Macaca fascicularis: one gene and its partners. The protein of the gene in region 2 interacts with the protein of the main gene of each other region in a pairwise test. Links are inferred from orthologs where the notes say so. Each region holds a gene or a part of one and is shown on either strand. Other genes may lie near its edges. The genes, in order: CHIC2, CDR2, SH2D4A, ENKD1, C1H1orf216, HDAC4 and TRIM23.

Region 1 (4,017 bases), on a different chromosome or scaffold from region 2:
CCAGAAGTATGTCCGACAAGCGTGGCAGAAGGCAGACATCAATACAAAATGGGCAGCCACACGATGGGCCAAAAAGATTGAAGCCAGAGAAAGGAAAGCCAAGATGACAGATTTTGATCGTTTTAAAGTTATGAAGGCAAAGAAAATGAGGAACAGAATAATCAAGAATGAAGTTAAGAAGCTTCAAAAGGCAGCTCTCCTGAAAGCTTCTCCCAAAAAAGCACCTGGTACTAAGGGTACTGCTGCTGCTGCTGCTGCTGCTACAGTTCCAGCAAAAAAGATGACCACCGCGAGTAAAAAGGCTCCAGCCCAGAAGGTTCCTGCCCAGAAAGCCACAGGCCAGAAGGCTGCGCCTGCTCCAAAAGCTCAGAAGGGTCAAAAAGCTCCAGCCCAGAAAGCACCTGCTCCAAAGGCATCTGGCAAGAGAGCATAAGTGGCAATCAAAAAAAGTAATAAAGGTTCTTTTTGACATGTTGGCAAATGTATTTAAGCCTTTGGATTTAAAGCCTGTTGAGACTGGAGTTAGGAGGCAGATTGATAGTAGGATTACAATAAACATTAAATAATCAGTTCCTTAAAAAAAAAAAAAAAAAGTTTCTAAGTCTAGTGACTCATCGTTCTTTTTCAGAAACTGTGTCTTGCTTGATATGACCTCTAGATTTCAATACTTCTACAGATTAGCTGTCTGGGCCAGGAATCTTCATTTTCACTTTTCAGTTCTCCTGGGTTTTGATCTGCCTCAATAAAGAAGACACACTTCTATACCTGGCTCAAAAATATTCCTGTCTTACTCTAGGTATCCTGCACTAAGCCTTAGCTGTCACATTTGCCACTCTCCTGACCTGTGATTTGCCTACAAAATATTCACTAGCTCCCTGTTAAAATATTTTCTCCCAACTAGCTTCTTCATTTGGGCTACATTTCCCTATCTATAAAACAAAGGCATCGAACTAGATGACAAGATTCTTTGCAGCTTTAAAATTTGACAATTAAATGTTTAAACTACTTAAGAGTCAGCATTAAACAAATTCTTTTGTATTTCAAATATGTCCTCAATCAGTCTTTATAATTTTAGTCCCCAGTTGTGGGCATACCCACACTTTACAATATATACTATTAATACATAACATAAAATAAAGGCTATCTTTGCCTACATTTGAACTATTAGTTTTTAAATAATACATCCTACAAATTTTTCCTTCAGAAGCCACTTGTCTCATTTATTCTAAATCATCTGTCTCTACCATATCTGAACAAAGAAAAGTTAGCACCAAGGTGGTGTGTGTGTATATATATATATATTTTTTTTTAGTATTTCCAATGTTCAAATTTAATCAAAGATAATTATTTTCTTTTAACAAAATGAAATTTCTTTAAGTTAAAGAAAAGTTGAGGGAAAGAGGGACAAATGGTTAAAAAGGCCCAAATTCATTAGATAAAATGAATTTTATTTGCTAGTTTAACTTTTAAAATTCATTTTAATGAATTTTTTAAGCTACATTATTCTCACTTTCAACTATCAAAAATATATATACTCTAAGAAAATCTAGCAAAACACATTTTTCCCCAGCATGCATATATATATATATATATATATATATTTTTTTTTTTTTTTTTTTTTTTTTTTAAAGAGAGGCAGGTATTGCTATGTTATCCAGACTGTCTTTGTACTCCTGGACTCAAGTGATCCTGCTGCCTCAGCCTCCCCAGCTAGACTATTGGCATGCCCACTACACCCAGCTTTTTCCTAGCAATTTAAATATTTATTTTATCTTTACTACTCTTCTGGATATCTTCTATGATGGAGTGAAAATAATATAATGGCTTTAGTAGAAGTGCTTAATTATCTAAAAATTCAAGGAAACTTATTTTACAAACAAAGCATATAGTTCAGAATGTTTTGGAAGGTTAAATTACTTTATGAATAAATTATAGTCATACAGTTCTATCTGGAAATCATAGCATTGGGACAACTTTTATGTTTTCCTTTCCAAAGTAAATTTAGAAATGCACAAAAAATTAATAACTTAGTTTTAAGCTTAGTGTTTGTGTTACAAATGTAGTAACTTTTTTTTCACCAAATTCTTTACATCTCCTATCCATCCTTCTCCCCAAAATATGTACATAAACCCTCTTACTATCTAAGATGAAAATACAAGACTAGTATTCTCACCTCAAAATGGGTTACTCAAATGTGTTACGATTATAAAGAAGTATCAGGTGTCTTTCTCATCATCATAAATTAACATGTTGACATAATAAAGATAAAATCTACATTATTTGGTTCATTGAATAAAGCTAGTCTAAGACATTTTAAAAATATTTTTTATGTTCAAGGCTAGAAATGGGATTTGACTGTGTGATAATGAAAGAACAGGAAAATGCTAACAGAGAAAAATGATTTTATGATAATTTACAACAAAACACTCTTTTAATCAATATTTTACACATACACACACACACATCTATGATGGCTATATTGTTTTAAAGAATAGGCAAAATTCCTCAGAAATGTTATAACAGATACTTCACAAAGGCTCTGAGTTTTACTTTCAACAATTAATTTTTCCTTAGATCTTTTTCTTCTAAAGTAACAACCTGGCCATATTTAAAGTACAGTACTCAAGCTCAAAAGAAAATTAAAATTCTTAATTTTCTAGAATATTCTGAAATTTTCAAAAGGAGAAAAACTGCTCAAGTAAATCATGGAGTCAGTAAATTAAATCCCATGCTGAGTAAGTACAAAATTCATTGTATATATATGCCAAATTAGATATTTTTTAACAAGTAAACACAAGATGATCAACATCTCATTTCCTGCTTACTTTTAATTTTTACAAAGCGATATTCTAATAACACTTTAAAACAGATTCTTTAAAGGGCACTGAGGTACGGACAGTTAAAATCTATAAAGGCTAAAGGTTTCTTAAGCTCCAATGGCTTGGCTGAAAGGTTTTCTTCCATACTTGGAAACTTGATTAGCATTATATAAAAAAGCCATATCTGACTTGCTGCGTAACCAAAGTTGTGGTTATTCTTTATACAGCATCTAAAATTTCACACTCCATCAACACATGTTCAGGCTATTTTATCTTGGCAATTAATTTATTATTTTTCAGAACACAGTGAAGCCTTGTTTTCAAGTCATTCATAACTTTATAAATCAGTCTTGCACATGAAACCATGCATCTGTGAACCGTAGAAAATCCTTGCACTCAGGAGATTAAGCTCCTGACACCTTTGCTGATTAATAATCATGGAAAGAATAAGATCAGAAGCAAAATAAATGATCATTTAATAGAGAAACTCACAAAACAGCCCTTTAACTTACATATTCCATCATGTTATTCGTTTCACATTTCCTTTTGCTCAGTCTCCAATGCAAGCACAGCTAGACAAGTAGGAGAGTAAAAGAAGAAAAATGAGCTCTATTTTATTGCAGCACACAGACTAACCCATTTGTCCACCTTTCATATTTTTAGTTCAACAAAAGCATCTGTTTCCATACTGTGCAATTCAGACCCCAACAGTACGAAGCTGCTCCCTGTGGTACTCACCTTGTGGTATAACCTATTGTTTTCCCATTCTAATAACTTCTCAATCGATCTTCGTGTCTGGAAGACAAATGAGAAAAAAGTTTACTCTTGACTGGTTTTAGAAAACTTTGTTTTGCAGCTGCTTTTTCTGTGAAAAGGGAAGAGGTGTAAGACAGTGACTGAGTATAGTGTGGTGTGCATCACTATCCATTTTCTAAGCACTAAATGGTAACCTGAACACAAAGAGTTCTCTTTCTTTAAAAAGATATGGCTTTATTTCTATCATATGAATCTTTTTTTACTAGCCTCTGATTTAAAACTATCAAGGTTTAAAAGCTAATGTCATCTGCCAAATAAAATTAAATCCCCACTTTTTTCAAAAATATGTTTCCAATACTTAAATAGTAACAGAAGCTCCTTAATACATACTTTACAACAAAAGTAAATATTAGTTAACAAAATGCAAATGGCCTTTCAGTAA
Region 2 (4,017 bases):
AAAGGCTAGAGCTTTCAATAAAAACATTAGAATGTAGGGGCGGAGGCCCTCTAGGGCGTATGCTAACAAGCTAACTTGGATCAAACAAAAATTTGCCATCTCAATTTGGTATTCAGTTTGATTTGGATATATTAGGATTACCTGTCAGTCACAGTTCAACTAGTTCAGATACAACAAAACTCAAGCATTTGGAGTATTTGTTAATGACATTTCTTTTGGATCAGACCCCTGCTTTCTCTTGAACATTCTTCTTAATGAATTCACAGTATTCAGTGTTTGCAAAAGATACTTGAGTTTGACAGCCCTCTGACTTTACATCGTTTTGAGAAGTTGCGCAAGGAAGCAATAGGAACTGCCTTAGCTTTGTGCCAACTCGGCCCTTCTCCCCCATACTGTAGTAACTCCAGGCCTACTTCTCCAGTAGTATAGCTCTTCCCTCCACTGGTCCTTTTCAGGAATTGAAGTCTAATCAGTGCGCCAGCCAGAGGCCAGTTTGTCATGGGATTTCCTGGGGAGCTTAAATGGAAGTGGATCAGAGAACTGATACCAGTAGCCACCTCCTTTCCTCGTTGTATGCATTTGCTAAATAAGCAAAGCAATGAGGCAAATGTCACAAGCAACATCAGGCTTCCAAGTCTACAAACACTTGTCTGAATGAGAGAGGTGATAGGCAATAGGCAAATTAGTAGTAGAGCTAGAGGTTCAATTAAGAATGAGAGGAGAGTGATCGGTATTTTGTTCTCTGTTCATCTATTTCCTGCTTAGTTTTCTTGATGCAACTAAAGATCTCCTTAAACAACGCTTTGTATTCTGGAGGTGTTGTAGGGGAACTGACGGGCTCTGGGTTGACAGAGGCCAGTTCCCAGCCGCTGGCAACAGGCTCAGACTGGGCGTTCACTCCAGTCAGGTCCTTGGCCGGAGCCCTGGAGGTCTGTACAGCCTTGTGTGACAGGGAGTCCTGTTCCTGTTGGCACTTCTTCAGCAGCTCTTCATACTTCACCTTCAGGGCACTGTACTGTGTGTCCACTTCGTGCAGAAGGGAGATGCCCCTCTGTTTCACAGCCTTGGCCCTCCTGATGCAGGTCTCCTCATGGCCCTTCACGATGTCACTCCCTGCCAAGCTGCTGAGGATCGTCTCACTGCTGCTGCGCTTGAGAGGCTTTCTGTGTGGTTCCGGCACAGTCAGGAACATCTCTTCCAGCAGGCTCTGGCTGGGTTCTTTGAAAGGAACAAACAGAGAGTCTGGCACCAGCTTCTCAACCCCATTCACAAATGGATGCTCTGACTGCAACATCTGTCGCATCTCTGCCACCTCAGCCTCTAGTTCCAGCGCCCGTGCTCGGTAGGCACCTGTGGCCCCCAGCTGCTGCTCCAGTTCACTGTTCTCCTTTAAAACCAGCCCATATTCCTCCTCCATAGTCACCCGCTTCTGCCGCTCCAGGCTCAGCTGGGCCTGCAACATTGTCACCGTTTTTTTCAAGTGCTCATTTTCCTCTTCATCAGGGCTTGGCTGACTTTGCAAGGAAGTGATCTTTTCAGCGAACACATGATCATACACGAAGTGTCTAGGGAAAAAAATATTGAAAGAATGTATTACACAGGTCCACTGAGAATGAAGTGAGGAAGACTGGTGATTTTTTTTCAACTAAATAAATTTGAGGAGCTGTGACAGTGACTGATTTTTTTTTCTTTTTTTTTTGAGATGGAGTCTCACTCTGTCGCCAGGCTGGAGTGCAGTGGAGCGATCTCAGCTCGTTGCAACCTCAGCCTCCCGGGTTTAAGCAATTCTCCTGCCTCAGCCTCCCAAGTAGGTGGGATTTTAGGCATGCGCCACCATGCCTGGCTAATTTTGTATTTTTAGTAGAGACGGGATTTCTCCATGTTGGTTAGGCTGGTTGGTCTCCCAACCTCAGGTGATCCTCCTGCCTCGGCCTCCCAAAGTGCTGGGATTTACAGGTGTGAGCCACTGCACCCGGCCGACAGTGACTGATTTTTAGCCACACTGGAGCAGTGGCTAAAATGGAACTGTGTGAGGCTGGTAAATAAACACATGAAAGCAAACTCAGTTTTTGCGATGAATCTTTTTTTAATGTTGAAAGTACTAAAGAACATCTATTCCCAAAGACTGGCAGTATGCCAATGACCTCACAAGGGAAACCTTAAAAAGTACTGGTGCCTGGGTCCCAACCCACAGATTCTAACCTAGTTGGTCTGCTACCCGGCCTGAGGGTTTCTAAAGGCTCTCCAAATGATTCATAATACATAATTACGATTGAATCACTACAGCAAATTACTGTTGCTGTGGTGTTTAACCAGGAATGTTCATCAGAATTGCCTGGGCAGCTTTTTACCCACACCCAGAAATTCTGATTTAGGCCTGAGGGAATGTGTTGGTATCTGCATTTTGAAAAACTCCACAGGTGATCTGATGTGCAGCCAAAGACCCACCAAATGAACCACCTGATTTCTCCTGCTCAGTCCAAGGCACCTTGCTTGACTATTTATTTGTGTTTTTATTTGCTTATCTGCCGTTCTGTTAGACTGAAAGCTCACAGGGATAGGAACTCTATTCTGCTCACCAGCCCTCAGGTCTGGCATAGAGCTTGCCATACAACAAGTGTTCCACAAATACTTCTTAAAGATTCAGACTTGTAACTCTAAATTATAAAGGTACTTCTTTAAGCAAAAAATCTTGTTTGCTTGAATTTTTGTTTTACCAATATTTCTATAGTCTATCAGAAGTCATTCATCTTAAACTATGATTTAACACATTAAAAGCCCTGAAATAAGTGCTCTAAGACTTTCAAAATAAGAATTACCAATATATAAGAACTGTGTAATTTCTATGTTTAAGTGATTTTGTTCAAAACCAATGGTAGCTTAATAGCTAAGTGACATTTCTTAAAATGGTACTTTCAATCTACTGGAATTCAGAATGTGCCAATGACATGAGACAGTCCCTGCTGTAACTCCACAGACAGGTAGGCTCTTACTGGCGGAGATCATACAGCTCCTTCAGACATGCAAAGCTGGGTGCCGGTTTCTCCTGGTCACACTTCCCCTGGCTCCTTCTCCCTCGGCCAGATGACTTCAGCTCCTCCACTTGGCTCTGCAGGTGATCAATGTTGGTTTGCAGGCATTCAATCGTTTCAGTCAGGCTGTAAGGAACAGACAGAAGCCATTGCTGCTTGTCATACTGAATCAAGGGCAAAAGCGGTGAGGAGAGATTAGATGCGAGCCACTCACATTGGGCTTTCTTAATTGGAAAGGACATCTATTTAATCTCCATTCTCCAGAAAGAATTAAATTAAACTTTATCCCATATTGACCTAAACCCACTGCAGCCATGTTCTATTCTAGTTTATACTAAAGAACTTCCCTCTAGGCCTTCCTTGTCAGATTCTAGAAAATTTACCTCAGAATCTTTTGCTGTGAGGCCTTGCTGTCAGCAACTAGTTTTTGATTTGTTTCTTCCAGTTCCCTTGCTGTGACATCTAATTGTTCATAAACCTTTGCATGTTGTTCGTTCATCTGCCGTAGAAGCTCCACTTGCTTGGTCAGATACTGTAAGAGAAGATCAGGACCAGGTGACACAAACAGATAAGATACCTGCTGTTCCTTGGCTGGCCATGGTGGCTCATGCCTGTAATCCCAGCACTTTGGGAGGCCGAGACATACGGCTCACCTGAGGTCAGGAATTCGAGACCAGCCTGACCAACATGGTGAAATCCCGTCTCTACTAAAAATACAAAAATTAGGCAGGTGTGGTGACACATGCCTGTAATCCCAGCTACTTGGGAGGCTGAAGCAGGAAAATTACTTGAACCCGGGAGACAGAGGTTGCAATGAGCTGAGATGGCGCCATTGCACTCCAGCCTGGGCAACAAGAGTGAAACTCCATCTCAAACAAAGAAACAAACAAAAAAAGATACCTGCTGTTCCAACACCCATTCTCTGATTCTCAACACCAACTCTTGTTGGGGTGGGGCTGGCATACAGTCTCCATCTCTGGGCTCA
Region 3 (4,017 bases), on a different chromosome or scaffold from region 2:
CCAAAATATTCCCTTATACCAGGATTTCACTGCAGAGTACAAAGAGGCCACTGGATCTTGCAAATATTTTCATTTCACAGTAGTTGCCATTTAAATAGCATTGGTTATAATGTAACTGCAGATCAGTGTGGGATCTCAACATCCTGCAAATATAGCCATACCTGCTGTCTTCCTCAAGCTACCTCAGGATGATCTAGCAGTTCAGACTTCTCTGAGTCAGATGGAAACACTAATTCTTTCTCAAACCTAATTCTTCTAGCACTCTGGAGCACCCTCTCCTCTGCCTTCAGTTGTATGGACTTATTCTTCCCCTATGAGCCTTCTCTCCAGCTCTGCTAACTCAAATAGGAGTCAGGGCTGGGTCACAGGCATAAGCTGGATGCTAACACATCTGGCCTGGTAATCCTGTGTGCTTCTGATTACAAAGTTAAAATGTATTCACTATCAAAAACTTAGGGGAAAAAAATCCAAAACACAGTATTAAATTATCAGAAAAGCATTCAAATAAATAATCTTGAATCTCACCTCTCCAAGAAAACTAATGTTTACATGTTATTATAACCTTCCAGTTCTTTTCCTTCAGATATTTAGACATTTCTAAATAGCGAAGCTTTTCACTCTATTTCATGGTGTTTTTTCTTCCCCAAGCTAATGACATGTAAACATAGTCTAAGATCATTAAACACTCTTCCAAAACCTATTTTCCATAGCTATATATCACGCTATTTGATAAATTACATCATAATTTTGGTGATACAGAAATGGAGAACCAGTCCACTGTTCAAAAGTAACTTGTAAGCATTTGAGTAATAAGTTAGTAATAACATTTGAGTGGTCACTTACTGTGAAGATCTCTCTCAACAACCCACATTAAGTGCTTTCTAGATTGATCACATTATTAAGTGAGAGAATCAGCTGAGAGCCTGGAAGGTGCTACGGAGACCTCTGGGTACTCACGAGATGCCTGCCATTCCGAGTCTTCTTTCCAGTTCTTACAAATCTGCTTCGTTCTCTCTTCGTCTATTTGATTTATTTCTTCTTCTTGTTTTTTCTTCATGGATTCTTTCTTCTGTTTAAAAACAAAAACAAAAACCAAACCAACGAAAACGAACCTTGGTGAGCAAATCCAGCAGTTTCCTGAAGGACGGGGGTACCCGGCACAGCTGATTTCTAACTAACTCTCTGGCCCACTAGGGAGGATCAAGTGTGGACTTTGGAGTCAGTAAGACCTGAAGCTGGATTGACCATTGCTAGCTAGTGTGTAACTCCAGGAGCAACAACTGAACCTCTCTTGGGCTGTTTCCCCATAAGAAAGATGAGAAGAAAATATTTCTCAGGGTTATACTGAGGATTAGATAACTTAAGAAGTCCCTGGCACAGTGTATAACATATAATAAGAAAAAATATTCCTTTTCCTCACAGTACTTAGCTGTTTCAAATTGACTCCCTGAAGAAGCATGTAAACACACTATTACATAGAGCCAGCGTCAACCTACTTTATAGTAGCTGACAGTCCCCATGGAAGAAATGCACATTTCCAGAGCAATCTCAGCTCAGCTGAATCTCTCCCCTCGAATCATGTGTCCCAGAATGTGGTACTTACTACATGATTTTACGTGGTTTAAAAGAAATATATATTATTATTTTTTAAAGACGGAGTCTCACTCCATCGCCCAGTATAGTGGTACAATCTCGGCTCACTGTAACCTCCCCCTCCCAGGTTCAAGTGATTCTCCTGCCTCAGCCTCCCGAGTAGCTGGGATTACAGGCACGTGCCACCACACTTGGGTAATTTTTGTATGTTTTGAAGAGGTGGAGTTTCACCACGTTGGCCAGGCTGGTCGCAAACTTCTCACCTCAAGTGATCCACCACTTCAGCCTCCCAAAGTGCTGGGATTACAGGCATGAGCCACCACACCCTGCCAGAACATGTATTTTTTTGTTTCAAAAAAAAAAAAAAACCAGAAAAATATTTTTCAAAAGCATCTTTTGAGAAAGGGAAAAATATTTTTAAAATGTGAATATTCCTTTAAAAGGCGAATTAGGTTTTTTAAAAAATTGCAGTAAAATTCCATATAACAAAAGTATAGCACCTTAACCATTTTTAAGTGTACTGTTTTCCGGCATTAAGAGCATTCAAGGAAAATCATTTTAAACGAAAGAGAAATGAACAAACCAAATCACTTAGACCTGAAAAGTACTCTGTTTATTTGGACACAAGCTTCTGAGTGCTCACAAGAAGACTGAATTTACAACTTGGAGAACTAATAAAAGCCTTGGTTAGCTAAGTAATAAAACAAACTGAAACGGCCAGGAACGGCTGCCTGTGCCCACCTCTCTATCACGAGTGACAGGTTTTTTTCTTTTGTGCTTTCCCATAGAAATATAAAGACTTCCTTGCTCTAATGTCACCACAACGTAAAATATAAACGTTAATGTTGTGAAACATGTTTCTGATCGCTGTGGGCAGTCATAAATCGCAGTTTAAGTAATCATCATTCATAAATTGTGCTTCACTGCAGATGTAACTAAACCTCTGTGCATTTACTGTTTTTATTTTTTTCCTTACGTTGTTTTCCTGCCTAGAGCTAGCTCCTTTCATTTGCCAGCATTTTAAAATCCAAAGGACAGCTTTGATGTTTGAAAGGACTGTTAAGATTTGCCATCCTTTGATTGAAGCTGTCTGCAAGCCCAAGATACATAAATGTGCTGCTAGCAATTTCTAAGCTTAAACAGAAGAAGCTTAAAAGTGGAGCTTTGTTCATCCTTCCACATGCATACGTGTTTATTTTTAAATGATTAGGAAACATATAGTGAAAACATCAAGCTATGATCATCACAGATATTGTTGCTGAGGATCAGCAAGAAGTTTGGAACATGATTCCACTAAGAAAAAATATTAGTAACAGATGTAGTACTTGGTTGATGTTACTCAAATGTCTAACAGTGCTGTATTTAATAAATCTACTCCTTTAATCTGCATGTAATTATGTACAGGCACAGTGGAAAAGAAGAAAAATTCATGAGTTTCACAGAGTAATAGCAGATGAGATCTGCTGTTAACTCATCTATATACGGCCCTGACCACCGTATTTATTCAAGAAAGCCAGAAAACGTAAGGAACTTGTCCTGAGTCCCTCAAATAATTTGACTTTTAGCAAAATCTGTAATGCTTTACTTTCTCTATTCAGAAGACCATCATTTCCTTTTCAGCAGTGTTTTGCTGGAAGCATGCTGGTCCAGGACTCAGGACTCTGAGCCAGGCATGGGGAAATCCAGGTGATGGCTTGGAGTGGAGAGGTAGAGGGGCCAAGGCTGGATGCTAATCCAGATACCCAGGGTGGAAGGTGTGGAGACCCAGATGTGTGATGTGAGCTATGAAAATGTGCTCAGCTAACAGGACCAGAAAATGAGGCCACGCCGGGCCCATACAGAAAGCCTCTTATCCAGCCTGTTGATGGAAGCACTTAGAGTGACTCGCTACCAATTCCTTCATCAGAGCCTCACAACGCCTCCAAAGCAGGATGGCTCTGTTTTATCACCGTTGTTCTACAGAGAAGCAAGGTGGCTCATTCATTCTCTCAAATGATCAGCCCTTTCCTGACCATGCCAAGTGAGTTCCTGCCTCTGTGTCTTCGACTTGCTGTTCCCTCTGTCTGGAAGAGACGTCCACATGGCTTAGACATCCACATTGCTCCTTCCCTCTTTCCTTCAGGTCTCTGCTCCAATACTGCCTTCCCAGAGTGGCCTTCTCTGACTACCTGTCCCATCCTAATTCCATCCTCCCAGGATTCCTCAGTTCCCTGGTACTGCTTTATTTTCCTCTGCAGCGCTTATGATCACCTGACCTCACAGATATGTTTATCATCTCTCTCTCCCATGAAGAATATAAGCTCCCTGAGGGCAGGAATTTTATCTAATTTTTTCATAAAATGTGTCTCCAACTCCCATAATAGTGCTTAGTGTATAGTAGATACTCCATAAATGTTGCTTGGATCAATATACGATCCTTTGTCT
Region 4 (4,550 bases), about 42 Mb from region 2:
CTCCCCGTCCCCCTCCCCTGCCTGGTTCAGCTCGGGGTTGCAATAGTTGATGTACTGGTACAGGGGCCGCAGGCGCTGGGCCTTTCCTGCAAAGACCCAGGGCAGGGCAGAGGCTAGAGCGCCAGGTTGTGCCATGTCAGGCCCCACAGGGAGAAGGAACAGCCCAGGGACTGCCACTCACGCTCCAGCCCCAATGTCTCTAAGGGTGCAGACACCGTGCTGGCCACAGCGTGGAGCACGGGAGCCCCCAGGCTCTTGCGCTTCTTGGCTTTTTTGTGCTGTTTGGCAGATGGTGAGGGCTCACTCTGGCTGCCCTCTGGCTCCTCCTCCTGCAGCGGCAGCCTGGGTGGCAGCTCAGCTTCAGCCTTGGGATGGGCACGAAGGCCCGGGAGGCTGAGGGACCTGAGCCAGGGACAAGAGACCTGACGCAGGGAATACCCCAGCCTGCCCACCGCCCCAGGACTCGACGCCTGCCCCTTTCCTGGTCGATGAGGCCCCAGGCCCAAGAGGCTTAGAGGCCAGTGAGCCCAGTGCCCTACAAACCCTGAAGCTCCCACTCTCCTGCTGCTCCCTACATGGGGGCTCTGGAAGAACGGGAGAGGAGAGTGATGGTAGTGACAGGGGACAAGAATCCTTCCTGCAGGAGTGCAGGAATCAGGAATGCTACTGGGGTGTGTGCCCCAACCCCGGGCCTGCAGCTCCTTCCCCTCCTCCTCCCCCAGAGCCCCCTCACTTGACAGGCTTTCTCTTTGGACCATGACGGGGCCTCACAATGGAGACCACGGGCCTGGGGCCTCTCTCCTCTAGCGCCCCGGCTTCCGGCTTGGGCCTCTCCTCCCCCAGCTTGGGTCCTTCCTCCTGGAGCTCCAGCTCCGAAGCTGCGCCTGCTGGGCGCTGGTCTTCACCCTGGGTTCCGCGGGCCTCATGGGCTGGCACCAGGAAATGTTCTTCCGCCACTGGACACTAGAGGTGACACACAGGCCATCGGTCACCATGGTCGGGCAAAGGACATAGGGATCCGTCACTGAACACCTAACATTAGACACCGAAACGGGAATAAGGACACCAGCCTGTGCCCCTCCCCGCCTGGAGGGCCCAGCCTGGCAGTTAGCGGGTCGGGGCGCTCAGAGTTCCGCCTCTCAGAGTGCTGCGGCCCCCTGTTTGAAGGTTAAACAGCCTGACGGTCACCTCGGAGGTCTCAGCGCTGCCGGGGTCCTCCGCGAGCTGTCCCTGCCCCACGACCGTAGCCTCCTGGACCCCCGGCCGCCTCTCCGCCCCTGCCGAGGCCATGGCTGCGCAGGCTCAGTGCATCCTCCACAGCTGCTTGGGGAGGGCCCCGAGCGGCTGGATGGTGGCCCCGCGCTGACCCTGGAGACGGGCCAGCAAGCGAGGGCAGAGCTGGGAAGCGAAACCCGCGACCGCGGAGCCCACACTCAGCGGAAACTACAAGCCCCAGGACGCTTTGCGCCAGGGTCAGTGGGCCCTGACCCCGGGGACGGAAGCCACGGTTGCCCGGCAACAACAACTCCCGTCGGGTGGCAGCGGCTGGCGGCAAAACCTCTCGAGTGAGCCCCTGCCCAAGTGCCGCGGGGGAGAGGCCGCGAGCGGGACCGAGAAGTGGGCTGGGGGGAGAGGTCGCGGAGGCGGCGAGCGAGGCCGGGGCCCAGGCAGGGACCGGCAGGGGCCCGGGAGTGACGGGCACGCCAGGGTCAGGGTCCCAGGCGAGGGAGGAGGCCCGGGGTTGGGGAAGGGGGCCCGGGGAGGGAGGTGCACAGCCCTGCAGGCCTCGGGGCACCGTTGCTGGGCGGTGCCGGCGGCATGTGCGAGGGCCCGTCCCGCATCTCGGGGCCCATCCCCCCAGACCCGACGCTCTGCCCTGACTACTACCGGCGGCCGGCCTCGGGTGAGTCCGCGGGCTTGGCGGTGGTGCTAGGCTCAGGGGTCGGCCCCGACTCCACCTGAGTCCTGGACTCCGCCCGGCTCCGCCCCACAGCTCAAGGGCGCCTCGAGGGAAACGCGCTGAAGCTGGACTTGCTGACCTCGGACCGGGCCCTGGACGCCACCGCTCCCTGTGGCCCCCGCATCGGTCCCGGTGCCCGAGAGATCCTGGAGCGCGGCCGGCGCGGCGTCGGGGACGTGCTGTTGCAACTCGAGGGGATCTCCCTAGGTCCTGGGGCCTCTCTTAAGAGTAAGTCCCAGGAATGGAAGAAGGGGCAGAGAGGCAATGCGGGGTGGAAAGAGATCAAAAGCAGCTGCTCTTTCCGCCCTGACCTGGGCCCAGGCTTTGCATCTCTTGAGTCTCAGTTTCCCCAACTATAAAAGGGGGAGAAATGTGCTACCTTCTCGAAGGAAGTGAACTGAATAAGGTAGTTCCCACGAAGCCCTAGCTCTGCTTCGTGCATTTGTTTGTTTGTTTGTTTGTTTGTTTGTTTATTTATTTTTATTTTTTGAGACGGAGTCTCGCTCTGTCGCCCAGGCTGGAGTGCAGTGGCCGGATCTCAGCTCACTGCAAGCTCCGCCTCCCGGGTTCACGCCATTCTCCTGCCTCAGCCTCCCGAGTAGCTGGGACTACAGGCGCCCGCCACCATGCCCAGCTAAGTTTTTGTATTTTTAGTAGAGACGGGGTTTCACCGTGTTAGCTAGGATGGTCTCGATCTCCTGACCTCGTGATCCGCCCGTTTCGGCCTCCCAAAGTGCTGGGATTAGAGGCTTGAGCCACTGCGCCCAGCCTGCTCGTGCATTTATTACCCGTCAAATTTGTTTGTTGAGTGCCCACTGTGTGCCAGGCCATATAGGTGCTAGAACACAGGGTTGAAGATAAGCATGAGCCATCATTGAGTCAAGGTGGGAGACAAAGAACAGGAGATGAATGTCATATATGAGATGATCTATGGTATACTTCACTATAATAATGGAGAAAATCACCCGGACGCAGTGGCTCACTCCTGGAATCCCAGCACTTTGGGAGGTCCAGGCAGGCGGATCACTTGAGCCCAGGAGATGGAAACCAGCCTGGCCAACATGGTGAAACCCCATCTCTACAAAAAATACAAAAATTAGCCTGGCGTGGTGGCGTGTGTCTGTAATCCCAGCTACTCAGCAGGCTGAAGTGGGAGGATCCCTTGAGCGGGGGAGGTCAAGGCTGCAGTGAGCTGTGATCGTGCCGCTGTACTCCAGCCTGGGTGACAGAGCGAGACACTGTCTCAAATAGTAATAATAATAATGGAGACAGTCATCCTGAAATACTACATGAGGAAGGGAACTCTTTCTGTAGGAGGCAGGGGGCAGGCCTGTGTGTGAACTAGTGGAAGTTGGATTGTGTGGGCCCTATGTAGGGCAGAGACTGGTGGCATCTTTTCTCCAGGGAAGGACCCTAAAGACCATGAGAAGGAGAACCTGAGGCGGATCAGGGAGATTCAGAAGCGCTTCAGAGAACAGGAGCGCAGCCGAGAGCATGGACAGCCCAGGCCCCTGAAAGCTCTGTGGCGCTCACCCAAGTACGATAAGGTGGAGTCCCAGGTCAAGGCCCAGCTCCAGGTACCTGCTCCAGGGAGCCAGAAGTATTATCCTTTTTGTTGGCCAACAGGCAGCTATACCCTGATCCGAGTTCTGGGGAGGGAGGGAACTAAGAGACCCTGGCTCTGCTGCAGGGCGAGGCTGGGGGGCTTCTCAGAAGTGGTGATGGCGGGGCTGATCCTCAGGGGCAAGCAGCAGTTAGTCAAGGGGACAGCAGAGGAGAACATTCCCAAAAGATGGAAACTCACAGACCACAGGGCACGCAGCAGTGGAGATGCCAGGTGTACAGTTCACTGTGAGGAAAGAAAGGCGTGAAGTTAGGCCAAGAAGTCAGCTGGGCCCACATCAGGGGCCACAAAAGCCACTTTTCAGTCCTTATTTCTGAGGACAGTGGGAAGGGCAGGGGTATGGTGGGGGGCTCTGTCTCGGGTAGAGAGTAGCACCATCTTTCCATCCAGGGACTCAGCAGGAGGAGCAGGAGTGAGAGGAAAGGCAAGGTCACACAAATGTGTCTGGGCTGAAGCATCTGTGGGGCTCCCAGGGGGTGGGAGTGTGTCCAGGAAGCAGATGGAAATTCAGGCCTGGATCTCAGGAGTGAGACCCAGGAGTTATTGACGATCAGGTTGAGGACAACGAGACCAAGGAAGTGACCGCCTGGATTTGAGGACTTGGAGGCCAGCCGTCAGGAACGTTGCGGGGCTAGAGCCAGGAAGCTTGGCTAGGAAGGATGAAAGAGAGTGGTAGGTGGGCCAGTACTGAGGTGGAAGGAGAGATGGTTTGTTGTTTTCTTTTTTTTTTTTTTTTTTTTTTGAGACTGAGTCTGACTCTGTCGCCCAGGCTGGAGTGCAGTGGCCGGATCTCAGCTCACTGCAAGCTCTGCCTCCCGGGTTTTTTTTTTTTTACGCCATTCTCCTGCCTCAGCCTCCCGAGTAGCTGGGACCACAGGCGCCCGCCACTTCGCCCGGCTAGTTTTTTGTATTTTTTAGTAGAGATGGGGTTTCACCGTGTTAGCCAGGATGGTCTCGATCTCCTGA
Region 5 (4,479 bases), on a different chromosome or scaffold from region 2:
TAGAAATGAGGCTGACATCTCCACCTGTATTTTCTTAGCTGGAGGAGTGTGCAAAGTTTGAATTACTTCTGCCTTCTTCTTATTTCCTTTTCCCTCTTAAAATAGTCATCATAATCATAAAAATTTATTTTCCATTTTCCCTGTTTTTGCATATAGGATTTCTTGGTGTGATTCAATTTGCCAATTAGTATCTAGGTTGCAGAATGGTGACTTGCAATCAAGTTGAAACTGGAAGAGGGTACCTTATATATTAGGGTCAGCAATTACTAAACTCTGTTCTCTTTTATTCCAAACAGGGTCCCCAACTTCACATTTCCCCAGGGTGCAAAAGAGGGGGATCAAGCTTCAGTAGAGTGGAGCTCTGAGAAGAATTCACTAGAGTTTGGAAGCCAGGACCCTTTTTATAACCTTGTTCCTCCTCACCTGGGCAAAAGCACTAGTGCCCACTGCACAGGTGTCATGGACGGGCTCTGTGTCCTGTGGAGAGCCCCCATCCCAGGTACAGGACATCAGCCCTGGGACCTGTCCCAGGCTGGATCTTCTTCTTTCTCTCTCTCTTTTTTTTTTTGAGACAGAGTCCCACTCTGTTGCCCAGGCTGGAGTGTAGTGGTACAGTCTTGGCTCACTGCAACCTCCACCTCCCAGGTTCAAGCGATTCTCCTGCCTCAGCCTCCCGAGTACCTGGGATTACAGGCGCCCGCCACCACGCCCAGCTAATTTTCGTATTTTAGTAGAGACGGTGTTTCACCATGTTGGCCAGGCTGGTCTCGAACTCCTGACCTCAGGTGATCCGCCGGCCTCGGCCTTCCAAAGTGCTGGGATTACAGGCGTGAGCCACCGCGCCCGGTCTCAGTGACTTTAGTCAAGTAGCACAAAAAGAAATATATAATTCCAAATTGTGATAAATGCTATGAAGAAAAGGAACGTGCCCTGACATACAAGGGGGAACGAATGCGATCTAGGGAGTCAGAGATTTCTCCGAGGAGAGAGCTGAAATAGGAGTAAATCGAGAGGGGGAAGAGACTGCTAGACCGAGGGAACCGTGCGTGCCAAAGCCGCGTGGCAGAAAGGGGCGTGCGGGAGGGTAGCTGCGGAGAGGGAGGGTAGAGGACAAAGCCGGAGAGGCAGACGGAGGGCCGGACGCGCAGAGCCCCGCGGCTGCTGCCTTAGGGGTTGTCCCGGCTGTGGGGAAGTCATAGAGGAGTTTAAAGCCGGAAGGTGGTGACTAATCAGATTTCACTTGAAAATGGCACGGTGTCTGCAGTGAGGTGAACTGATGGGAAGGGCCCAGCGAACGCCAATAGGAGAGAGCACCGGACCTGAAAGGCCTGGTTCAACGCGGCCCCGCGCGGGGGCGAGGCGGTTCCGGCGCAGAGCCTAGCGCGCGGCTCCGCGGAAAACCCAACCGGCCCACGTGGGCCGGGCCGCTCCGCCCCGCCGCGCAGACGCCGCCTGACTCCGCAGTCCGGACCTGGGGCTGGGCGCGCTGCCCGGGAGCCCCGCACCCACCCTTGGACCGCGGAGACGCCCAGGCCGAGGAACCCCCAGCCCAGGGACTAGACACCACCAGGGCCGGGCGGAGCCATAGCCAGACGCGCCGGATCGGGCGCCTCTAGGCCGTGAGTCGGAGGCGGGGGGCTTGGGGCCCAGCCGCGGGAAGCGGGGAGTCACAGCGGCCTCCGAGGAGACTAGGGAAGGATTGGTCTCTGCCTCCTGGGGTGGTCTCCCACTCCCGCAAGGCCAGGAAAGGAGGCTGCCTCCTATTTGGGCGGAGACCTAGTCCTGGGGTGTCGGGGTTCCTATTTTACTATTTCTGAGAACCCTGTGATCCCTAGCGCCACCCCTACCCCATCCCAGCTTCCTTCATGGCCCCATCCAAGTATAGGAAAAATTAAAAATTGGGGCGAGGGGAGATCTGTAGGCACCTTCCCACAAGCCTTGCTTAGAGGGCGATTACAAAGGAACTGTTCCTACACCCTTCTCCCCAGGACTTCTGCCCGTTGCTGGGGGTGGGGAGGGTCCATGCCACCTATGGTGCGCCTCCCAGTGCCGGCTCCACTTACAATATCCTTCCTCTTCATGCTCTTAAATTGTTCTAATCCCAGTGCTGTTTGGTCAGTAGAATTCCTTTGTCAATTCAAATCCTAATTTTGGTTAGAAGCAGGTTATGGAGGAGAGAAGAGTGGTGTGGTATGCCCGCCCTCCAGGGCCTCAGGATGGAGCAAGCTAGGGACAGGGACACAAGATAGTGGCCGTGTTCCAGAGGCATTGGGAGGGAAGTGGGCAGGCTCAGAAGAAAAGCTTGTCACTGGGGAAGGCTGGGCTCCCTGGCTGGGGTAGGAGAGGGAACTGAACCCAGCTCTTCCAGCCCGGGGGAGTCGGGAGTAGCTTCCTGAGCATGGAAATTCACTGCAGTCTCTTCTCCCATTCACTCGCTTAGCAAGTACCAGTATGCACAGACAGCCTGGTTCCGGGCTCTATGCTGGCTGACTCTGGGGAATATGATGGAGGATATATAGGGGAGGTCCAAGCTAGATTACAAACTGCTATTACAAGATCATTGCCACAAACCAAAACTGCCAGTTAAATAGACATTCACTGATCGTCGACCATGTATGCCAGGGACAGACACAAAGTTGGATAAGACAGTGTGTACCCAGGGCAGTGGAGACCCAGAGGAAGGCATAACTAACCGTGCTTGTTTATGTAATATTGATTGCGGCAGTATCAAGACAGCTTCAGAGACATGGGTACATGGAGATATGGGGATATTACAGCTGATTTTGAAGTACAAAAAGGAATTTGCTGGGTGGAGAAGGGAGGAGCTTTGAGGGGAGGGGAGAGGAAGGATATTATAGGCCAAAGGAATACTGTAAGAAGGACAATGGTGTGTTTTGAGATCTCTGGGCAGTTTGCTATGATGGGAGGGACAGAGTGGCAAAAGGCAGGTGTGGAAGGGTGAGCAGAGGCTAGATCAAACAGGGCCTTGTAGGCCACATAGAGGTTTAGCAGGAGTTCAGGGAGGGCATTCTGAGTGGTGACAAGTGAAATTTACATTTGTAACTGGGGGCAGAGAGACCAGTGAAAAGGCCGAGGCAATAATCCAGGTCAGAAATGGCCTGGAAGAGGAAGAATGGTCAGAATGTGGTTATCAATGAGATGGGAGAAGGAAGGAGAGTGAGGAGCCCAGGATGCTCCTAGCCTTCTGGATGGAGGGTGGAGCCATCTTGCTGAGGATACTGAAGGAGAGCTTGTTTGGTTATATAGAATTTTGGTGGTGGGGGCGGGGGGTGGAGAGGGATGAAGTCTCACTCTGTCACCCAGGCTGGAGTGTGGTGGCACAATCTCAGTTCACTACAACCTCTGCCTCCTGGGTTCAAGCGCTTCCCAAATAGCTGGGATTACAGGTGCCTGTCACCACGCCTGGCTAATTTTTGTATTTTTAGTAGAGATGGGGTTTCACCATGTTGGCCAGTCTAGTCTCGAACTTCTGACCTCAGGTGATCTGCCTGCCTCGGCCTCCCAAAGTGCTGTGATTACAGGCATGAGCCACCGCACCCAGACTGGTTATGTAGAATTTGAGGAGCCTATGATTGGTTGCAGGGTTGGATAGCAGTTAGATCTGGGCTGAAGACAGATCTGAGAGTCATCAGCATATGATGGACCTTGAAGCTACAGCAGAGAATGAGGTCCTCTGGAGAGAAATGTGCAAAATCAGAAGACAGCCTGGCTCTGAGGACTGAGGAAAAACCCTCTGCAGGAGACTGAGAATGAACAGGTAGACAGGGAGGACGAAAACCGTGAGGGGAAGTGTCACCAGAGTCAAGAGAAAGGGCTTGACAGGGAGTGGTCGGGCTCTTGCTTTCAGCCTTGTCCCTGCAGCTAAGTTGCCCTGACTTCAGGCACCCCACCCTGTCCTACTGTGACTCAGTCTCCTGCTTTCCCTTTACAGACCAGATGTTCGCCATCCAGCCAGGGCTAGCTGAGGGGGGCCAATTCCTGGGGGACCCACCTCCTGGAGTATGTCAGCCCGAGCTCCAACCAGACAACAACTCCAACTTCATGGCAAGTGCCAAGGATGCTAATGAGAATTGGCATGGGATGCCAGGCAGAGTGGAACCTATCCTGAGGAGGAGCTCCTCTGAGTCGCCCTCTGACAACCAGGCCTTCCAGGCCCCTGGATCCCCTGAGGAAGGGGTGCGCAGCCCCCCAGAGGGGGCAGAGATTCCCGGGGCTGAGCCTGAGAAGATGGGTGGTCCTGGCACAGTCTGCTCCCCTCTGGAGGACAATGGCTATGCCAGCAGTTCCTTGAGTATCAACAGCCCTAGCAGCAGTCCTGAGCCTGCCTGTGGGACCCCGCGAGGCCTTGGCCCTCCCGATCCCCTTCTGCCCTCAGTGGCCCAGGCTGTGCAGCACTTACAAGCCCAGGAGCGCTACAAAGAGCAGGAGAAAGAAAAGCACCACGTGCACTTGGTGATG
Region 6 (4,017 bases), on a different chromosome or scaffold from region 2:
ATCAACAGGATAACACAGGCTGAGTCACGGGGTCCCAGGGAGGCCTAGACAGTATGGGGTATCAACGAGGGCTTCTCTGAGGAGGTACTGAGCCAGGAGCAGCCTGGATCAGGTGCAGGGGAGTGGGGCCTGGCAGGTGTGGAGAGAGGCTCTTGCTGGGGCGGCAGCCTGGCCCTCGCTGGTTCCACTGGGAGATACGCGAAGGCCATGCAGATGTGGGGACCAGAGCACCCACTCTGCCACACCACACACGGGGACCAAAGCACTCACTCTGCCACACCACACACGTACAGTGGGTGGGCATGAAGCCTCGCCCCCTTGTTGGGTTTGTGGGTCTTAGTTTTGACCAACAGCACTGAATCTGCACACTAAACTTGGGTGAGAAAGCACCCTTGATTCTCAGACTTGGAAGTGCTAGCTCGGCTTCATTTGCAGCCGCTCCCCTCCCTGGTCTCACATTCCACACATCCTCATGCAGGCTAAAAGCAGAAACAGCCCATCAGCTTCCAGGCACCCAGGACCCTTGGAGCCTGGAGCAGGCCTGCTGGTGGGGATGTGCCTCTCTGATGAGATGGGGCTGGGCTGGGCTCTGTGTAGGGAGGCCACTTAGTCAGGGGCCTGGGACACCCCAAGGGATTCTGGGAACAGGCTGAGGTGCACACCCTCATACGAGGCAGAGTGGAGTGGAGGAAGCAGGGCAGAGATGAGGCCACAGCTGCCTAGCCTCTCCCCAGACAGCAGCTGAGGGAGAGCACGGCGACCTGCCACCCAAGCCGAGGCACAAAGAAAGCCGGGCGCCTCCTCGCTGGGAGCTCTGCGCCAATCCTGTCTTAGTTTTGATGAACAAATCCTGTGAACGTGGAAAACCAGGTACCTACATCTCAGCTCCTGTATGAGAGGCGGAGTCCAGCCCTGTGCTGCCAGCACTGGGGGAAGCCAGAGCTGCCTGGCCAGGCTCTGATCTGTCTTGTCTTTAGGAATCAGGCCAGGTGGCTCACGCCTGTAATCCCAGCACTTTGGGAGGCCGAGGCGGGTAGATCACCTGAAGTAAGGAGTTCGAGACCAGCCTGGCCAAAATGGTGAAACCTTGTCTTTACCAAAAAAAAAAATTAGCCAGGCATGATGGCAGGTGCCTGTAGTCCCAGCTACTCGGGAGGCTGAGGGGGAAGAATCACTTGAACCCAGAAGGTGGAGGCTGCAGTGAGCCAAGATGGCACCACTGCACTCTAGCCTGGGCAACAGAGTGAGACTACGTCTCAAAAAAAGAAAAAAAAAAAGGAATCAGAGCCAGGAGGGAGCAGAGAAGAGGGGAGCCCCGAGACAGGCGGAGGAGCTGGAGCAGGAGCTGGAGTAGGAGCCAGCACCCACAGGCCCCCAGTCTGCGGCTAACCAAATTCAGCTGGGATTGCTGTGGGCCCCACGTGGTTAAGCGGTTAATAAGCAATCCTCCCGGACACCGGCTGGAAGGTGTCCCGCCTTAGGTTTACCTCGGCAAATTGCTCCGTGTACTACCAAGTTTCCCTGATAAGGAGTTCTGCCTATTACTCTCCAGAGAGAACAGAAATTGTTTCTAATCATCATCTCACGCTTGGAATATAACAAGCCTCTTTTTTCAAAGTGAACGCCGATCTATGAGAAACTAGTCCTAAAAATTATTAATGTAAATAGTTTCCCACTTCTTATCCGCATAATAACAGCACACTGAATTTCAGACCTTCATCGACTTTCAAGGCCCGACCACAGGAAGAGGCCCCAAACCCGGGCCTGTCAGACGGGACCTGTGGATGAGTGTTCGCCACGAAGCACCGTGTGTGCGCCAGAGAGGCCCGGGGCTTTCTCTCTCTGTCTTTGCCAGGCTGCTGGGCTGTGTAGTGTTTAGTGCCCGGGGTGCTAATTAAGACGGCCCAGAAATTAGAGAGAGGCCGCCCTCTGAACAAAAAGGAGAAATAGCACCCAATGCCCGCCGCCGGGGGAAGCTTGGTAGAGAAGGGCTCCTGGCCCAGAAGCCTCTGGAGACCACTGAGACCTGACCCCCCGTGCGGCAGGCTTGGGTCTAGGTGCTCCAGATACAAGGGCCCACACTGATTCATTCGGTGCCAAGACCTGCAGCTGAGAATTAAAGGGAACAGTTTACTGCAGGGCGTCCTGCTCCTGGCTTCCAGGGTGCTGCTGGGGGTAGAGATGCAGCTCTGGCCACACAGCTGGCAGTCAGGAAGCTGGGGAGGTGCTCAGTGGCACGGCCAGCATGGAGTCCAGAGACAAGGGAGGGAATGATCCAGTGGCTCCTGCAGCCGAGGCAGCAGCTCTGCTGCTGGAGGACAGAATCAAATCCTACAGCTGTGGTTCCTCAGGCTCGCTTCCTGCCTATAGGGAGGAAGCCACCTTTCTGAGGACACTCTGGCTGCAGATACGGGGCTCCAGCTGGCTGCCCAAATGCCTCAGGTATTTCTGTTGACTCAGAAGTTTTATGTTTCACTGGAAATTAACCAATCATTCACTGGCCTTCTTCATCAGGCTCCTGTGCATTTGGTTACTGGGTGTCAGTGCCCTGAAGCCTTACTGGCTCTGGGTGCCACGATCGTACCCGTCTTGTCTGGATCTGCAGGGCTGCTCATTAGCACCACTGGGCCACAAAAGGTCTTGACTTCTGATCAGACCCTGCCTGTCTTTTTGATCAATTAATACCTCTATTTCCTTCACTTCTTTAAAAAGCATGCTGTACCTCACTAACACGTGGATGCTGTGATCATTTACAGCCTACAAACAGGAAGGAAACCCATTCTCTGGGGCCTGTGCATGGCTGGAAAGCAGTTACGTAACCACCCGCAGTGGGCAAACATCTCGAATCCCTAGGAACAGCTGGGACAAAACAGAAGCCACATCAACCTCCCTCACTGGCCAGGACAAGACGGGTGAGACACTGGACAGCGACAGCACAAGGATGCCCTGCAGCTCCCGTGATCACCACACAGAAGATGCCGCCCGGGGACCGAGGGTGGCTGTGCGTGCCAGCCTGCTGGTGCCCTCCCTGCCTGTAGTCACCTGTCTGAAGAGCAGCTCCTGCTCACTGGGCTGGCGCTGGCCCGGCTCCACCTCCCGAGGGGGCTCTGCCTCTTCGTCATCGCTCTCAATGGGCTCCTGCTTCACCTGCACGCCAGCTGGTGCGTGCGCCTCCTTCTGCGCCGGCAGCCGGTCCAGGTAGGGCTCGTCCAGCAGAGCCTGGTGCTCACGGAGCTCCTCCTCCGTCTCCTCTGGGTGACTCTCCGGCTGCCGGGCCGGCTCGCTTGGTTTCGGGATGATCTGCAAGGCAGAGGAAATACATGAAGCACAGAGAGCTGGGGCCTCTGAGCTCATCAGACAGGAGGAGGGATGCTGCCAACCACCCACCTCTGGGGCAGACAATCAGGGACTCAAGGCATCTTATCGCCCTGCCACAGGCCAGCAGGCGCCTTCATCTTCCCGCACAACAGGCACTTGGGCGCTATCCACGGTGCTGAGAAAATAATGCCCATCAGGACCCCAGCCCGGGGTCAAGGTGACCTGGCCCAGGGAAGGAGGCTGACTAACATTTGGGGTTTACTAAGCACCTCTTCTGCGTCAGGCACTGAGAAACAGAAAAGAAGCCGCAGGTGTCAACCGAGTCTGCAGAGGGGAGCCTGAGTGTGAAGGAGAGGCCAATGCTGACCTCATAGCCACAACTGCTGAGAGAAACAGCCACCACCCACCCAGCGGAAGACATCGACGTCCACAATGCTCACTGCCTGAGCCCACTGACACGCCACGGCCTCCCCTCCTGCAGGGTCCCACCGATGTGCCATGACCTCCCTCCTGCCGGATCCTGGGAACACTCCAGGACCTCCCTTCCTGCTGAATCCTAGGGATGTCATGGCCTCCCTCCTGGAATACTATGGACGCTCCGTGACCTCCCTTCTTATGGGATCCCATTGACGTGCCATGACCTCCTCTCCTGCTGAATCCCAGGGATGCCACGGCCTCCCTCCTGGGATACCATGGACA
Region 7 (4,598 bases), on a different chromosome or scaffold from region 2:
ACCTGGGAGGTGGAGCTTGCAGTGAGCCGAGATTGTGCCACTGCACTCCAGCCTAGGCGACAGAGCAAGACTCCGACTCAAAAAAAAAAAAAATCACAATAGAATTTGATATAAAATAAATGCAACATTTTATAAATGCTGTATTGAAACTCTAATAAATTAAATTTGTTTATAAACTCCAAAGAACCATATTAAAATTTTGTTTAGTTCATTTCAATCCTGTATCTCTGATCCCACCACTGTACAAGATTTAAAAGAATTTCCTTATGCTGTTACCGTATTTTTCAAAAAGCACTAATAAAATTCCATTGATTAGCAAACCAAACACAGGTCCGAAAATAAAGTTACTAGACTATTTTGCATCAACTTGGTAAATAATACAGCAAGAAAATATTTCCTCAGTATCTATGAATAGGAATTGTGGTTAACAGCAAAAAGCCCTAGATAGGAAAAAGCTCTTAATTTTACATTTCACAAAATGCCAAAACAGCTTCAAACTTATTACATGTAAATCAAACTGTAATCAATCAGATTATATATATATATATTTTTTTTTTCTTTCTTTTTTTTGAGAAAGGGTCTCACTCTTTCTCAAAAAAAAAGGGTCAGCCAGGCTGGAATGTAGTGGCCTGAGCATGGTTCACTGCAGCCTCGACCTCCCGAGCTCAAGCAATCCTCCTGCCTCAGACTCCCAAGTAGCTGGTACCACAGGCATGTGCCACCATGCCTGGCTAATTTTTTTAATTATTATTTGTAGAGGTTGGGTCTCACTATGTTGCCAAGGCTGGTCTCAAACTCCAGGGCTCAAGCAATCCTCCCACCTTAGCCTCCCAAAGTGTGAGATTAAAGGTGTGAGCCACTGTGCCCAGTCTCAGACTAAATTTTAAAAGGCCTAAGAAGACTCACTAAGCAAAAGAAACTGTGATACATTTTTACATGTCAGTTATTTCAAAATATCAGATTTTTTATTTTTTATTTTTCAGATGGAGTCTCACTCTGTCACCCAGGCTGGAATGTAGTAGCACAATCTCGGCTCACTGCAACCTCCCCCTCCTGGGTTCAAGTGATTCTCCTGATCAGCCTCCTGAGTAACTGGGATTAACAGGCCCACACCACAATGCCTGGCTACTTTTTGTATTATTAGTAGAGACAGGGTTTGGCCATGCTGGCCAGGCTAGTCTCGAACTCCTGACCTCAAGTGATCAGCCCACTTCGGCCTCCCAAAGTGCTTCCCAGGCACTTTGTGCTTTACAGACGTGTGCCACCGCGCCTAGCCATATCAGATTTTTATGTTACTGGTTTCTCTAATGATAAAAACCATGTAATTATCAACTTGTTCACAAGCACAAGGCCATTTTACACAGTATTAGCATTATATACTTCAATTTTTACCTTCCAATAAATACTTATTGCTTTCATCTATACAAATGACAGTAAGGTTTTTTTCAGTTTATACCCCTATAGCTACTACAAATTATGGCATGAAGATTTTGTCAGAAAGGACTATTTTATTGCACAGTTCAGGAACATTTTACATGTTAAGATGAAAATGAACAAGGTGAGCCTCTGATGTATCAAATTCTGTGCTGTAACAAACTGGAGTTACATCAGGCTTTGGTACACTTTTGAGACTATAAGGCAAACAGCGTAACAACAAAATAGATACTGCAATGATACCCCTTCCAATTATGAAATAAAACTTAAACTTCAAGTTAATTCACAAAGTACTCTGCAAGTATTCTCTACTTAGCAAAAGCACAATTCAATAAATAAAATCTCAATCACACAACATGCCTAATAACGAGGGCTCTTTTGCGTTATCAGATATGCTGTGCACCTGTAGAATAACTTCATTACTACCTAAAGGTCATCTGAATCAACGACCACCAATACTGACTGATACTAAATTGTGGGAAGAAATGTCTCACTTGCTGTCATACAAAACCAACATTAACTGAATAATCGTAGGTGTCTATTTTTCAAGACGTTAAAAGAACTTCATATATTATCCTGTTCGGTAATTCTTAACCCTGGTTACATATTAAAATAACTTATGGGCATTCCTAAAATCTACTGTTGTTGTCAACCTCATCAGAACTGGAGGAGGAGTGCATCAGTAGTGTACTAAAAATCTTCAGTGATCCTAATATGCAGCCAGGAATGAGAATTTTCAATCTCTTAGATTAGAGATGCTCCCGAAGGTTACTCTATAAAACCAATGAGATCAGTTCTCCCCTCCAGATCTCTCCGTGCACAAGTGTGGAAGGGAAAAATGACTGCCACATATTTCAAATGATTTTTTAGCAAATTCATTCTGGAGCATTTATACATGGTAGAATCTCAAACTTCAAGCATAAGGAAATTCATTAACTCTATCGTTAACGCCCAGCTATGACGATGTTGCAGACTTCTGAAAAGTGTTAATAGACTGTACTACTAACAGGAGAGAGGGCAGCTCAGCCAGTAACAGATGTCTCATTACAGACGCAGTACAATAGGGAAAAGCATAGGCTTTAAAGCCGGTCAACCCGGGGCTCTGCCACACACTGTTTACCTAAACCTGGATTTCCTCCCTGTAAAATGGGAATTAACATCTACTTCATAAGTAGATATTAACGAGCTAAAACACCTAACGTAGTACGTAGTTACGATGACGATGGGCCAATTTATAATACTAAGCTAACTAATGCCTGTTGAGTTTAACTAAAAGCAGAGGACCTGGAGAAAAGACCGGTCTAGGTCACTGGACCGCAAGCTCCTTTTCATAAATGTTCCGATTATGACATGTCATGAGCAGAAGACCAGGCAACTTCAGGCCATAGGAGAGAAAGGATGCAGAGGAGAGGACAAGACTTGTAAAGCCAAAAGGGGCCCAGAGGCCGCGCATCCCACCCATCGAAGCCTGGGCCGTGGCGATGCAGCCAGGTCTCCAGGATGAACCGAAGGGAGGCCAATGGTGGAGAACAGAGCACGCAAGGTCCCTCACCTTCACTACAGCTGTCCCCCGGCTGCCCTGCCGGCCACTGTCTACTCCCGCTCCAAGCTTGTTTACAACCAGAGTAGCCATCCTCGTAGGAGTAGCGCCACAGATGCAGCCTTCAGAGTCCTCAACTGAGAGGCGGGGTTAAGCCACCTACCCAGAGGCCTCTGCGCACGCCACCGGCGCACAGGCGCAGTAGGACACAGGGCGCCGCTTAGCCGACTCTTACTCCTCCTCCCTGCAGTCGTGGGGTACTTCGTTGCACAGCCTCGCGCATGGGCACTTTTGTTATTTTTCATTACGTAGTCTGCAACTGCTGGAGGAAAGACAAGGAAAAAAAAAAAAAAGAAGGGATAAAACAGAATTAAAGTTTTGGGGTGAAACTCCAGCTCCTTTAATGATTTTTCCTCTCGAATCGCAAACCAACCAGGGTGTAAACTGAGGGCGGTGAAGGGATACGGGCATCTCCCTGCATGCAACGCGATTTTCGTATAAACTACAAATCCCAGCATGCCACTCTCTCTTTTATTTATTTATTTTTTTTAAACTCCGGCAAAGTTGGCCTTTGGGAGGCGGCGTATTGTAACCGAGGGGTGGTTTCTTTTCCTGAAGTCGCGATGTGCGATAGCAGATGGAAAACAAAGTGTTTTATGCATACGTTTCTAAGATAAAAGAAATGGACTTGGTGAGAAGAAGCCAGTCTGTAAAGAACACAGTAAGAAAATTTAAGGTACCACCACCGGAGAGAAGTTGAAAGTGCGTTTGACTTCTGGTCTTGCCAAACGCGAGGTTTTCCGTTTCCTTCCGGGCCAAGTTGAACCTGTCCAGCCCCCGTAGGCCGTGGGTCAAAAGTGCTGGTCAAAATGGAAGTGAATCCCCCTAAACAGGAGCACCTGCTGGCGCTGAAAGGTAAACTTTTGCGAACCTGAGTACCCGTTTTCTGTTTTCTTCCCTTCCCTATTTATCGAAGCCTTTGCCATGTAGGCCTCAGCCTTCTTAAACACTGTCAGTGCTCGCCCTCCTGCTCTGTCCTTTGGCGCCAGGCGGGAGGAAGCGATTTCGCCTGGATGCTTTTTAGGTTTACGGGCTCCTTTCTAGAATGAAATAGATACCTGGTAAATCACTCTCTGATCTATGCTGCTTCAGTCACGAGATTTTAGCGGCAGAAGCTGACGTCCCGCTCCTACCGTGGAGATCTCTGTGAACTAAGATGAATTACAGCGGGCATGTAAAGTGCTTTTTCCTTCTGTCTCTCGTTTCTTCCTGTGGCACTGACGAAGTTATCAGGCTTCAGTTTCCCCTGTAAAATTAGTATTGCATAACAGTAGTGCAAAGAATTTAGCAATATATAGTAATACAACATATAACTTAGATTTATTAAAAACAAACTGCAGTTTACTTCAAAGCACTGTGTATGTGGGAAATATGTCCGAGATCTAATGTCAACTCTCATTTTTTGTACACAGCCATTTTGAGTAAGTTTGGTGATTTAATTAGATCTTTATTTAGGAAAAAACAGCAGGCTTTTTTTTTTTTAGGACAATTTTTATTTTTTTTTATTTTTAATGCCTATTTTCTGGAAATCTTTTTATTTGAAATCTTTTCAGCTTTATTTTAT

Evidence for each region.
Region 1: the proteins of CDR2 (region 2) and CHIC2 interact in binary tests that used the Homo sapiens proteins (3 or more experiments, as listed by UniProt). The link is inferred for Macaca fascicularis from reciprocal best matches to the Homo sapiens genes CDR2 and CHIC2.
Region 3: the proteins of CDR2 (region 2) and SH2D4A interact in binary tests that used the Homo sapiens proteins (3 or more experiments, as listed by UniProt). The two-hybrid records come from large-scale screens. The link is inferred for Macaca fascicularis from reciprocal best matches to the Homo sapiens genes CDR2 and SH2D4A.
Region 4: the proteins of CDR2 (region 2) and ENKD1 interact in binary tests that used the Homo sapiens proteins (3 or more experiments, as listed by UniProt). The two-hybrid records come from large-scale screens. The link is inferred for Macaca fascicularis from reciprocal best matches to the Homo sapiens genes CDR2 and ENKD1.
Region 5: the proteins of CDR2 (region 2) and C1H1orf216 interact in binary tests that used the Homo sapiens proteins (3 or more experiments, as listed by UniProt). The two-hybrid records come from large-scale screens. The link is inferred for Macaca fascicularis from reciprocal best matches to the Homo sapiens genes CDR2 and C1orf216.
Region 6: the proteins of CDR2 (region 2) and HDAC4 interact in binary tests that used the Homo sapiens proteins (3 or more experiments, as listed by UniProt). The two-hybrid records come from large-scale screens. The link is inferred for Macaca fascicularis from reciprocal best matches to the Homo sapiens genes CDR2 and HDAC4.
Region 7: the proteins of CDR2 (region 2) and TRIM23 interact in binary tests that used the Homo sapiens proteins (3 or more experiments, as listed by UniProt). The two-hybrid records come from large-scale screens. The link is inferred for Macaca fascicularis from reciprocal best matches to the Homo sapiens genes CDR2 and TRIM23.

What each region holds. Positions count from the first base shown.
Region 1 is NC_088379.1:79,881,021-79,885,037, reverse strand, and holds part of CHIC2 (cysteine-rich hydrophobic domain-containing protein 2), read right to left. Parts: intron 3,615-4,017; coding exon 3,558-3,614; intron 3,392-3,557; coding exon 3,332-3,391; intron 594-3,331; exon of another isoform or gene 1-593.
Region 2 is NC_088394.1:21,335,469-21,339,485, forward strand, and holds part of CDR2 (cerebellar degeneration-related protein 2), read right to left. Parts: intron 3,565-4,017; coding exon 3,416-3,564; intron 3,159-3,415; coding exon 2,994-3,158; intron 1,566-2,993; coding exon 707-1,565; 3' UTR 1-706.
Region 3 is NC_088382.1:22,426,159-22,430,175, reverse strand, and holds part of SH2D4A (SH2 domain-containing protein 4A), read right to left. Parts: intron 1,070-4,017; coding exon 958-1,069; intron 1-957. UniProt on the Homo sapiens protein: Inhibits estrogen-induced cell proliferation by competing with PLCG for binding to ESR1, blocking the effect of estrogen on PLCG and repressing estrogen-induced proliferation. May play a role in T-cell development and function.
Region 4 is NC_088394.1:63,699,679-63,704,228, reverse strand, and holds the start of ENKD1 (enkurin domain-containing protein 1), read left to right. Parts: upstream 1-1,510; 5' UTR 1,511-1,818; coding exon 1,819-1,903; intron 1,904-1,993; coding exon 1,994-2,188; intron 2,189-3,364; coding exon 3,365-3,537; intron 3,538-4,550. Other genes in the region: C20H16orf86 (uncharacterized protein C16orf86 homolog), read right to left, coding at 1-86, 182-758. UniProt on the Homo sapiens protein: Microtubule-binding protein which regulates microtubule organization and stability. Promotes the stability of astral microtubules and facilitates the proper orientation of the mitotic spindle.
Region 5 is NC_088375.1:199,233,610-199,238,088, forward strand, and holds the start of C1H1orf216 (UPF0500 protein C1orf216 homolog), read left to right. Parts: upstream 1-1,441; 5' UTR 1,442-1,619; intron 1,620-3,603; 5' UTR 3,604-3,778; intron 3,779-3,952; 5' UTR 3,953-3,957; coding exon 3,958-4,479.
Region 6 is NC_088386.1:135,022,039-135,026,055, forward strand, and holds part of HDAC4 (histone deacetylase 4), read right to left. Parts: intron 3,301-4,017; coding exon 3,043-3,300; intron 1-3,042. UniProt on the Homo sapiens protein: Responsible for the deacetylation of lysine residues on the N-terminal part of the core histones (H2A, H2B, H3 and H4).
Region 7 is NC_088380.1:71,318,928-71,323,525, forward strand, and holds the start of TRIM23 (E3 ubiquitin-protein ligase TRIM23), read right to left. Parts: upstream 3,114-4,598; 5' UTR 3,068-3,113; coding exon 2,987-3,067; intron 1-2,986. Other genes in the region: TRAPPC13 (trafficking protein particle complex subunit 13), read left to right, coding at 3,844-3,889.